2 linked regions of the Cricetulus griseus genome follow. The protein of the gene in region 2 purifies or fractionates together with the protein of the main gene of each other region. This does not show direct contact. Links are inferred from orthologs where the notes say so. Each region holds a gene or a part of one and is shown on either strand. Other genes may lie near its edges. The genes, in order: Pdik1l and Ctdspl2.

Evidence for each region.
Region 1: the proteins of Ctdspl2 (region 2) and Pdik1l purify together in Homo sapiens (affinity purification with mass spectrometry; 4 studies listed by BioGRID and IntAct, counting the BioPlex papers as one, with this or other methods). This does not show direct contact. The link is inferred for Cricetulus griseus from reciprocal best matches to the Homo sapiens genes CTDSPL2 and PDIK1L.

What each region holds. Positions count from the first base shown.
Region 1 is NC_048595.1:19,030,512-19,034,336, reverse strand, and holds part of Pdik1l (serine/threonine-protein kinase PDIK1L), read right to left. Parts: intron 760-3,825; coding exon 19-759; 3' UTR 1-18.
Region 2 is NC_048599.1:56,446,330-56,450,154, forward strand, and holds part of Ctdspl2 (CTD small phosphatase-like protein 2), read right to left. Parts: intron 3,237-3,825; coding exon 3,158-3,236; intron 507-3,157; coding exon 395-506; intron 1-394. UniProt on the Homo sapiens protein: Probable phosphatase.

The sequences.
Region 1 (3,825 bases), on a different chromosome or scaffold from region 2:
GTGCTTGCAAGCAGAAGGTCACGTTTCCCAGCTGCTGTCTTTAAATGCAATTTGGACTAATCTGAGTTCTAGTTCAAATGCATCCGGACGATCCTGAGGGTTTGCAGCCAGCATTTCCTTAATCAGTTGCTTCATTCGTCCATTCATAGACTTTTTCTTCACAGGGATGAGAAGTTCCATTTTGGGGTTTTCCAGAAGTGCCTCCCCAACAGGCACAATTTCGGTCCCCTGCTTTACGTAACTCCCCAGGAGCTCCTTCTTTGTCTCTGTGTCTATGAAAGTGATCCTCTCCAGCATCGCCCAGATAATAATTCCCAGAGCAAAGATGTCAGCTTTTGCTGTGTAGTGTCCTTCCCAAACTTCGGGAGCCATGTAGAAATCTGTTCCACATGCCGTGGAAAGGAAACACTTGTTTACGCTGACAGGTTCTTCTGGGTTCTGCCCAGATGCTGAACAAACTTTACTTAGACCAAAATCCGCCACTTTCAGGGTGGGTTCCAAGTCACTGGTGTCCAACCTGCTTTGAGAAATCAGGATGTTATCAGGCTTCAGGTCTCGGTGGATGATCTGGTTTTTGTGCAAGAAAGCCAGAGCACTGCTGAGCTGAAGCATGAAGCTGGTGTTAGTCTTTCGATTGGGTTTCCTGGACAACAGATACTCATTCATATCTCCTCCGTCACAAAAATCCATCACAAACCACAAATAATAGGCGCTTCTGGGATCAAAGGCAATTTCTCCTTTTAATGAAGTCTCTACAAGCTGTGAAGAAGGAGTAGGAGAAAAAGTTATTACAAAAATTTGACTATAGAAAGGTTAAAGGGTAAGTTCAAGCCCAGCCTGGTCTACAAGAGCTAGTTCCAGGACAGCCTCCAAAGCCACAGAGAAACCCTGTCTCGAAAAACCAAAATAAATAAATATTAAAAAAAAAAGAAAGGCTAAAGGAAGCTGGAAATATGGGTCAGCAGTTATGAGCTTAATGCCCTCAGAGGACTGGACTTCAGGTCCTCAGCACCCAAGTCAGTGTCTCACAATTGCCTGTAATGATAGCTCCAGGGGAATCCAATACTTTTTCTGGACTCTAAGGGCACCTGCACTGACACATATATTCCTCCCTCCACACAAACATACTTAAAAATTAATAACTCTTTTTTTTTTTTTTGCGAGAGGGTTTCTCTGTATAGCCCTGGTTGCCCTGAAACTTGCTTTGTAGACCAGGTGGACCTCTAATTCTGAGATCTGCCTGCCTCTGCCTCCCCAGTGCTGGGACTAAAGGTGTGTACACACCTGGTTGTACATCTTAATTAACATATATATATATATATATATATAATATATATATATATTTAGCTGGGTGGTAGTGGTGCACACCTTTAATCCCAGCACTGGGGAGGCAGAGGCAGGTGGATCTCTGTGGGTTCGAGGCCAGCCTGGTTTACAAGGAGAGTTCCTGGACAACTACAGCTGTTACACAGAGATACCCTGTCATGCAAAATCAAAAAGTAAAATTTAAAAAAAAATGGGGGGCACTGGAGAGATGGCTCAGTGGTTAAGAGCACTGGCTACTCTCCCAGAGGACCCAGGTTCAATTTCTAGCATTCACATGTTAGGTCACAACTGTCTTTAACTCCAATTCCAGGGAATCCAACTTCCTCATACAGACATACATGTAGGCAAAACACCAATGCAGATAAATAAAAATTAAATAAAAAAAAATTACCAACCCAAGCTGGATAGTAGTGGTGCCAACACTTGGGAGGCAGAGTCAGGAGAATCTCTGTGAGTTAGGGCAAGCCTGGTCTACAGAGAGAGTTCCATGACTACACAGAGAAACCCTGTCTTGAAAATAAAAGAAAGTTAGGTCAGTTGGATCTTATACATGGCAGGCACGGGTTTCTTTATTCTTTTCTTTTTGATTTTTCGAGACAGGGTTTCGCTGTGTGTCCTTGGATGTCATGGAACTTATTTTATACACCAGGCTGGCTTTGAACTCACAGAGATCTGCCTGTTTATATTTCCAAGTGCTGGGGATTAAAGTCACCATTGACCATTAAGGCAAGGGTCTCTTACACAGAAAGTAGGAGGTCACACACACAAAACAAACTGCCAACAGTCAAAAGTTTAACTACAAATTTTCAGTTACCAAAAATTAATTCAAAACCAAATTACAGCATTTTTTTAATATATATATATATGTCTGCTATATTGTTTTACTATATATATATTTGTCTGCTCTTATAGAAACATAATGGTTTCATTGGGGTAAACAAAGACTTCTGATATTTTTCTACTGCCATTAATCAGCAACGCAGTCCATCAGTGGGTTATGTTTTCGTGTAATGCTTAATTTGGGTGTGATTTTCTTTCCTCTTCTTTTTCCTCTGTTTTGAGACATGGTCTCAAATAGTTCATGAAAGCCTCAAACTCACTGTATAGTCATGGCTGGCCTTGAACTTCTGACCCTCCTGCTTCCATCTTCAGTGCTGAAATCACAGGTGTGTTATCACTACACCTAGCTCAAGAGACTGCAAGTTTAGCCTGCTGGATTTTGAGTTATATAGTGAGACTGAGAGAAAGAGAGGTTTGGTTTTAGCAGTTGCTGTTGGCGGCACACACCTGGGATCCCAGAACTACAGAAGGGCCACTGAAAGCTGTGAGGACAGAAGTGTGAACAATTTTTGACTTGCCTAAATTTATATCTACTATTTTGTACTGACCTATTTATATGAAACACTGTTCTCACCAATCATGGTCATAAAATAAAAGTATCAATTGTGGAAAACACTGAAGATGTTCTGTTTCACAACAACAAATATTCACCAAATATTTTTTTCTAAATGGATTTAATTTCTTATCTGTGTACTCTCAAGTATTTGAGCACATACGTGTCAGAGGGTAACTCTGGAGGCTGATTCTCTCCTTCCACCTTATGGGACCTGAGGATGGAACTAAGATTGTCAGGCTTACATCCAAGCATCACTGCCCACTGAGCCATCTTGCCAGCCTAAGATTTAGTAGCTCTTTGTTTCGTTTTTTTGTTTGTTTGTTTGTTTTGTTTTGTTTTTTTTGAGACAGGGTTTCTCTGTACAGCTTTGGAGCTTCTATCAGCACATGCTCTGTAGACCAGGCTGTCTTCGAACTCATGGAGATCCACCTGCCTCTGCCTCCCAAGTGCTGGGATTAAAGGCATGCGCCACCAATGCCAGACCCAAGATTTAACTCTTTATGTAGAAATAAACAAGCACATTCACTTCAGTTGTGTATAAACTTGCTTCCTACTTTAGTAAAAGCTGAAATTATATCTATACCAAAGAATTGCTTTAAAATGAAATTATTTATGATTCATTACCAGTACATGTTTATTTGTAGATCTGTTTTACACACCTATATGCCCAGGGTCATGCACATGTTTCTCTGGAGAGATTACAAGTGGAAGGGTTAGGAAGCTCTGCTCTGCGCTGAGGGAAGTCCAGCCCCAGCCTCCAGCTCTAACTGGAAACATCAGAAATATTTTATTTCATCAGTGCTTTTATACATGCCTTTAAAAGATGTTTTTTAGCACTTCAGAAGGCCACCTTTGCCCTTACTAAATACATGGTAAATTTCTGAGTCAAGAAGTAACATTTTTAAGTAGCTCTATTCTGGAAAGTGCCCAACAGGCCTACATTTTCTATATAGGTAATATAGCTGAATTCTACCACTTTCTAGCTCATCATTTCATGAAAAGACTAAAATTGCTTTTAAATTATTTGTTATATGGTATCTTTTTAGATTGGTAGTGTGAAAAGGGAAGATTCAGAGCTGAGCCACTGAAGAAGGAGTAACTGA
Region 2 (3,825 bases):
GATGCACAGAGATACAGGTAGGCAAAATACTCATACACCATAATAAAGGCAGAGGATATAACACATATGCATATGTAAGACCCTGGATCAATTCCCGACTCCTCAAAAAAATAAACATCAAATAAAATTAAAAACAAATCACAGGATCTCAAGAATGTGGAGGAAAACAACTCTTATTTTTGTATTTAAATTAAAGTCTAATTTATTTTCAAAATATACCAGATACCAACCAAACTAGTCTAATGCTAGAGACCCTAGGGATCCTAACATTAGTATATACTCAAATAAAAACTTTGCAAAACACTCACGACACATTCATAGTAAATATGACTGCTTCCTCACTTGTATTCTTTCCACCCTTATTCTTTGTACCCGAAAGATATAGCACACTCACCAGATCTAAGACCAGGGAGAACTCTGGTGTGCTTCTTGTTTTCAAAGGAAGAGCAGGTTTCCTATTTAGCTGTTCTTCTGTCAGTGGTGGAACATGCTTGATGAAATAATAGCTATAAATCAAATTTTAGGAAAATTTCAACATTTCTGTTTCATGTATTTCAAACACTACTAAACTTAAATTTTAATTAGCTTGGGATGTGGTCAGCTACACAATTCTTGCTATACAATACAATGTGCAAGACCTTGGGTTTAATCCCTACAGTACAGCTTGTCTTCATTATCTATCCCACTGGATTGTTAGATTGGCACAAAAGGAACTGCTATGTCACTCAATTTTAAATTGCTGTAACTAGACTCAAACACATCTTAATTGATCCCAGTAAGAACAATCAATATGTTTTCGACTACAAGGACTGTTTGCTTTTTTCTATCTTTCATCTCCTGAAGACCAAAGAAATAAATCTGTTTATTCCTATAGTGCTGCAGTTCTCAGCCTGTGGGATGTAACCCCTTTAGGGATCCAATGGCCATTTCACAGGGGTCACATATCAGATATTTATTTACATTATGATTTATAACAAGATTACAGCAATGCATTAATTTTATGGTAGGAGATCACCATGATGTGAGTAGTATTAGGAAGGTTGAGAACACTGCTCTAGTGTAAAACATCCAGGCTTCAGGATTCTGAATTCTCTGCATGCTGGTGTTTGCAGAAATGTTTACCCTGAAAAAAAGCTATTTTGAAGTCCTATGGAGATTTCAGCCTATCTGCTAGACTGCAGAGCAGGGATGTAATGCTTTTGTCGAGGCTCAGGAATCTGTGTGATCAGGTTTGGTGGCAACAGACAACCAAACCCTGACCATGACCTTTTTTTGGTGTGTTTGACTTTGGGGAGGGGCTCTGAAGCTTCTTCTCGTCCAGACCCTGGGTTCATCTGCCAGTTGTGGTATACAATAGACCTCTCTTTACCTGTCACAACTGACAGGGAAAATTCCTTGAAGCTTAAAATAAGGGAGGATATCGGCCTAATATAACATTTTTTTCTTTTCAGTCACTTCATAAGGCACCCGCTTATCAAACCTTTTTACGTTTCCAATTTATTTCTAATACCAAATGACCATTGAATATATAGTTACTTAGCAACTTCCTATATAACTGTAAGAGATTCATGAGCAATGATTGATCTCAATTGGTCTTTGTCAACTTCTGCTGTCCAGCCACTAGCTCCTTCTCGAGTCTCCATTGGAAAACATCATGAACCACCACTGCACTGTATGTTTACTAACAATTTCTAGGCCAAATATGCTACTGATAGAGCACATTTTGAACTCAAATAAGAAAATGGCTTGAGCTGGGTGGCACATGCCTTTAATCCCACCACTGAGGAAACAGGAGGATCTCTGTGACTTCAAGGCCACCCTGGTCTATAAAGCAAGTTACAGGACAGTGGGGCTACAGAAAGAAACCCTGTCACAAAGAAACTAAACAAACAAAAAAATAAAATGGCTTTAATTTGCTTTTTGTTTCGTATCATTTCCATAGTATAAAATAAACAGTATGGGCCGGACATAGTGGATCACACCTTTGATCCCAGCACTTGTGAATTTGAGGCCACCCTGGTCTACATTTCAAATTCCAGGCCAGCCAAAGCTACGTAGTGAGACCCACCTAAAAATAAAAAGCGTGTATTAATAAAGAAATGTACATTAAAATGATTTGTAGGATAACCTCATTTATTTAAGTATTCCAATATCAGATATATTTCAACATTGCAAAGATTGCAAATTACTTTTGTACCAATCTAACAGAATCACCTAGAAGACAGACATCTCTGTGTGTCTAAGGGTGTTTCCTAAGACATTTAAGCATGGGCAGCACTGTCCCATGGGCAAAGGAGAAAGCTAGCAGCACAGAACATTCACTACTCTGCTTTCTGATAGCAGACACAAAGTCATCAGCAGGGCTGGAGAGATGGCTCTGGCTGTTCTTCCAGAGGTCCTGAGTTCAATTCCCAGCAACCACATGGTGGCTCACAACCATCAGTAATGAGATCTGGTGCCCTCTTCTGGCCTGCAGGGATACATGTAGGCAGAACACTGTATACAAAATAAATAAATAAATCTTTAAAAAAAAGTCATCAGCAGCTGAATACCCCTATCTGCCACAGTTAGCAGGGTCTCACTGCCACAGTTCCTGCTATGAGGGACTGCATCCTTAACTTAAGATACTAACCAAAACATACCCTTCCTAAGTTGCTTCTTGTCAGTTACAGCAATGAAGCAGTAACTAATTCAACACTTCACCCAGTAAACTAAATTTTGAAAACACATAAGTAAAAGTATACAGATTAGTGTCTCCAAAACTCACTTATAAGTATTATACCCTACCTACAGGTCAAGCTCTTATCATGGGATTTATCTCCCATGTTTACAACAAAAATAATGTAAGTTTAAAAATGCATATGATATACCTAGACTAACAAATATAGTACTAACAGAATATAAAGCCTAAGTTAAACAATGCAGAACATCAGCTGTCTGCCCTCGTGAGAACACAGGATAAGTCAGAGATAGAGTTCTCTGCCCAACATGAAAGAGTACCCTGCTATGTACTGCCACTTAGGAAAAAGTTGAACTTCAAAATTCAAAGTACAGTTTCTACTGGACAAACATCATTTTTCAGTTCCATCATGAAGCTGAAAATCATTCAAGAAAGAAAATTCAAGAAAGAAAATTTAATAACTACAAAACAACTCACGGGTCAAATACTTCCCAGTCTTCCTCATAGGTGGCCTCTGCATGGGCTGAAGAGTAACCACTCTCTGGAGTTACTGGTGCTATTTAGTAAGAGGAAAAGAAGATTACATTCACTCATCAGAAGTTTCCGACAAAGTACACATTTTTACTGTCTTTATACAAGAGCTTCTTGAGGTCCTGTATATTTTAGATTAAAGATAAATAATTTATCAAGATTTAAGATTTAAAGACATTCAGTAAAACAGATTTAACTCTATATCCAAAAGAAATTACTACTATCAATGACATAGCAAACTACAAAATGGCTAGTAGAATTAAGATTTCTATCAGCTAATCGGAAATCTATTTATTATTACTGTCTAATAATTACTGTCATTTTCAGCAAGAAAAATGAGCATAAAATGAATGTGCTAGCTAGTTTTTTGTTAATTCAACAAGCTAGAGTCCTTTTAGAAGGGGAAACCCCAATTGAGAAAATGCCTCCATCAGAATGGCCTACAGGCAAATCTATGGGCATTTTCTTGATTAATGACTGGTATGGGAATGTCTAGTGTACTGTAGGTGGTGCCATCCCTGAGAAGTTTCATATAAAAAACAAAGCTGAAGCCGGGCGTTGGTGGCGCACGCCTTTAATCCTAGCACTCGGGAGGCAGAGGCAAGATTCCAAAA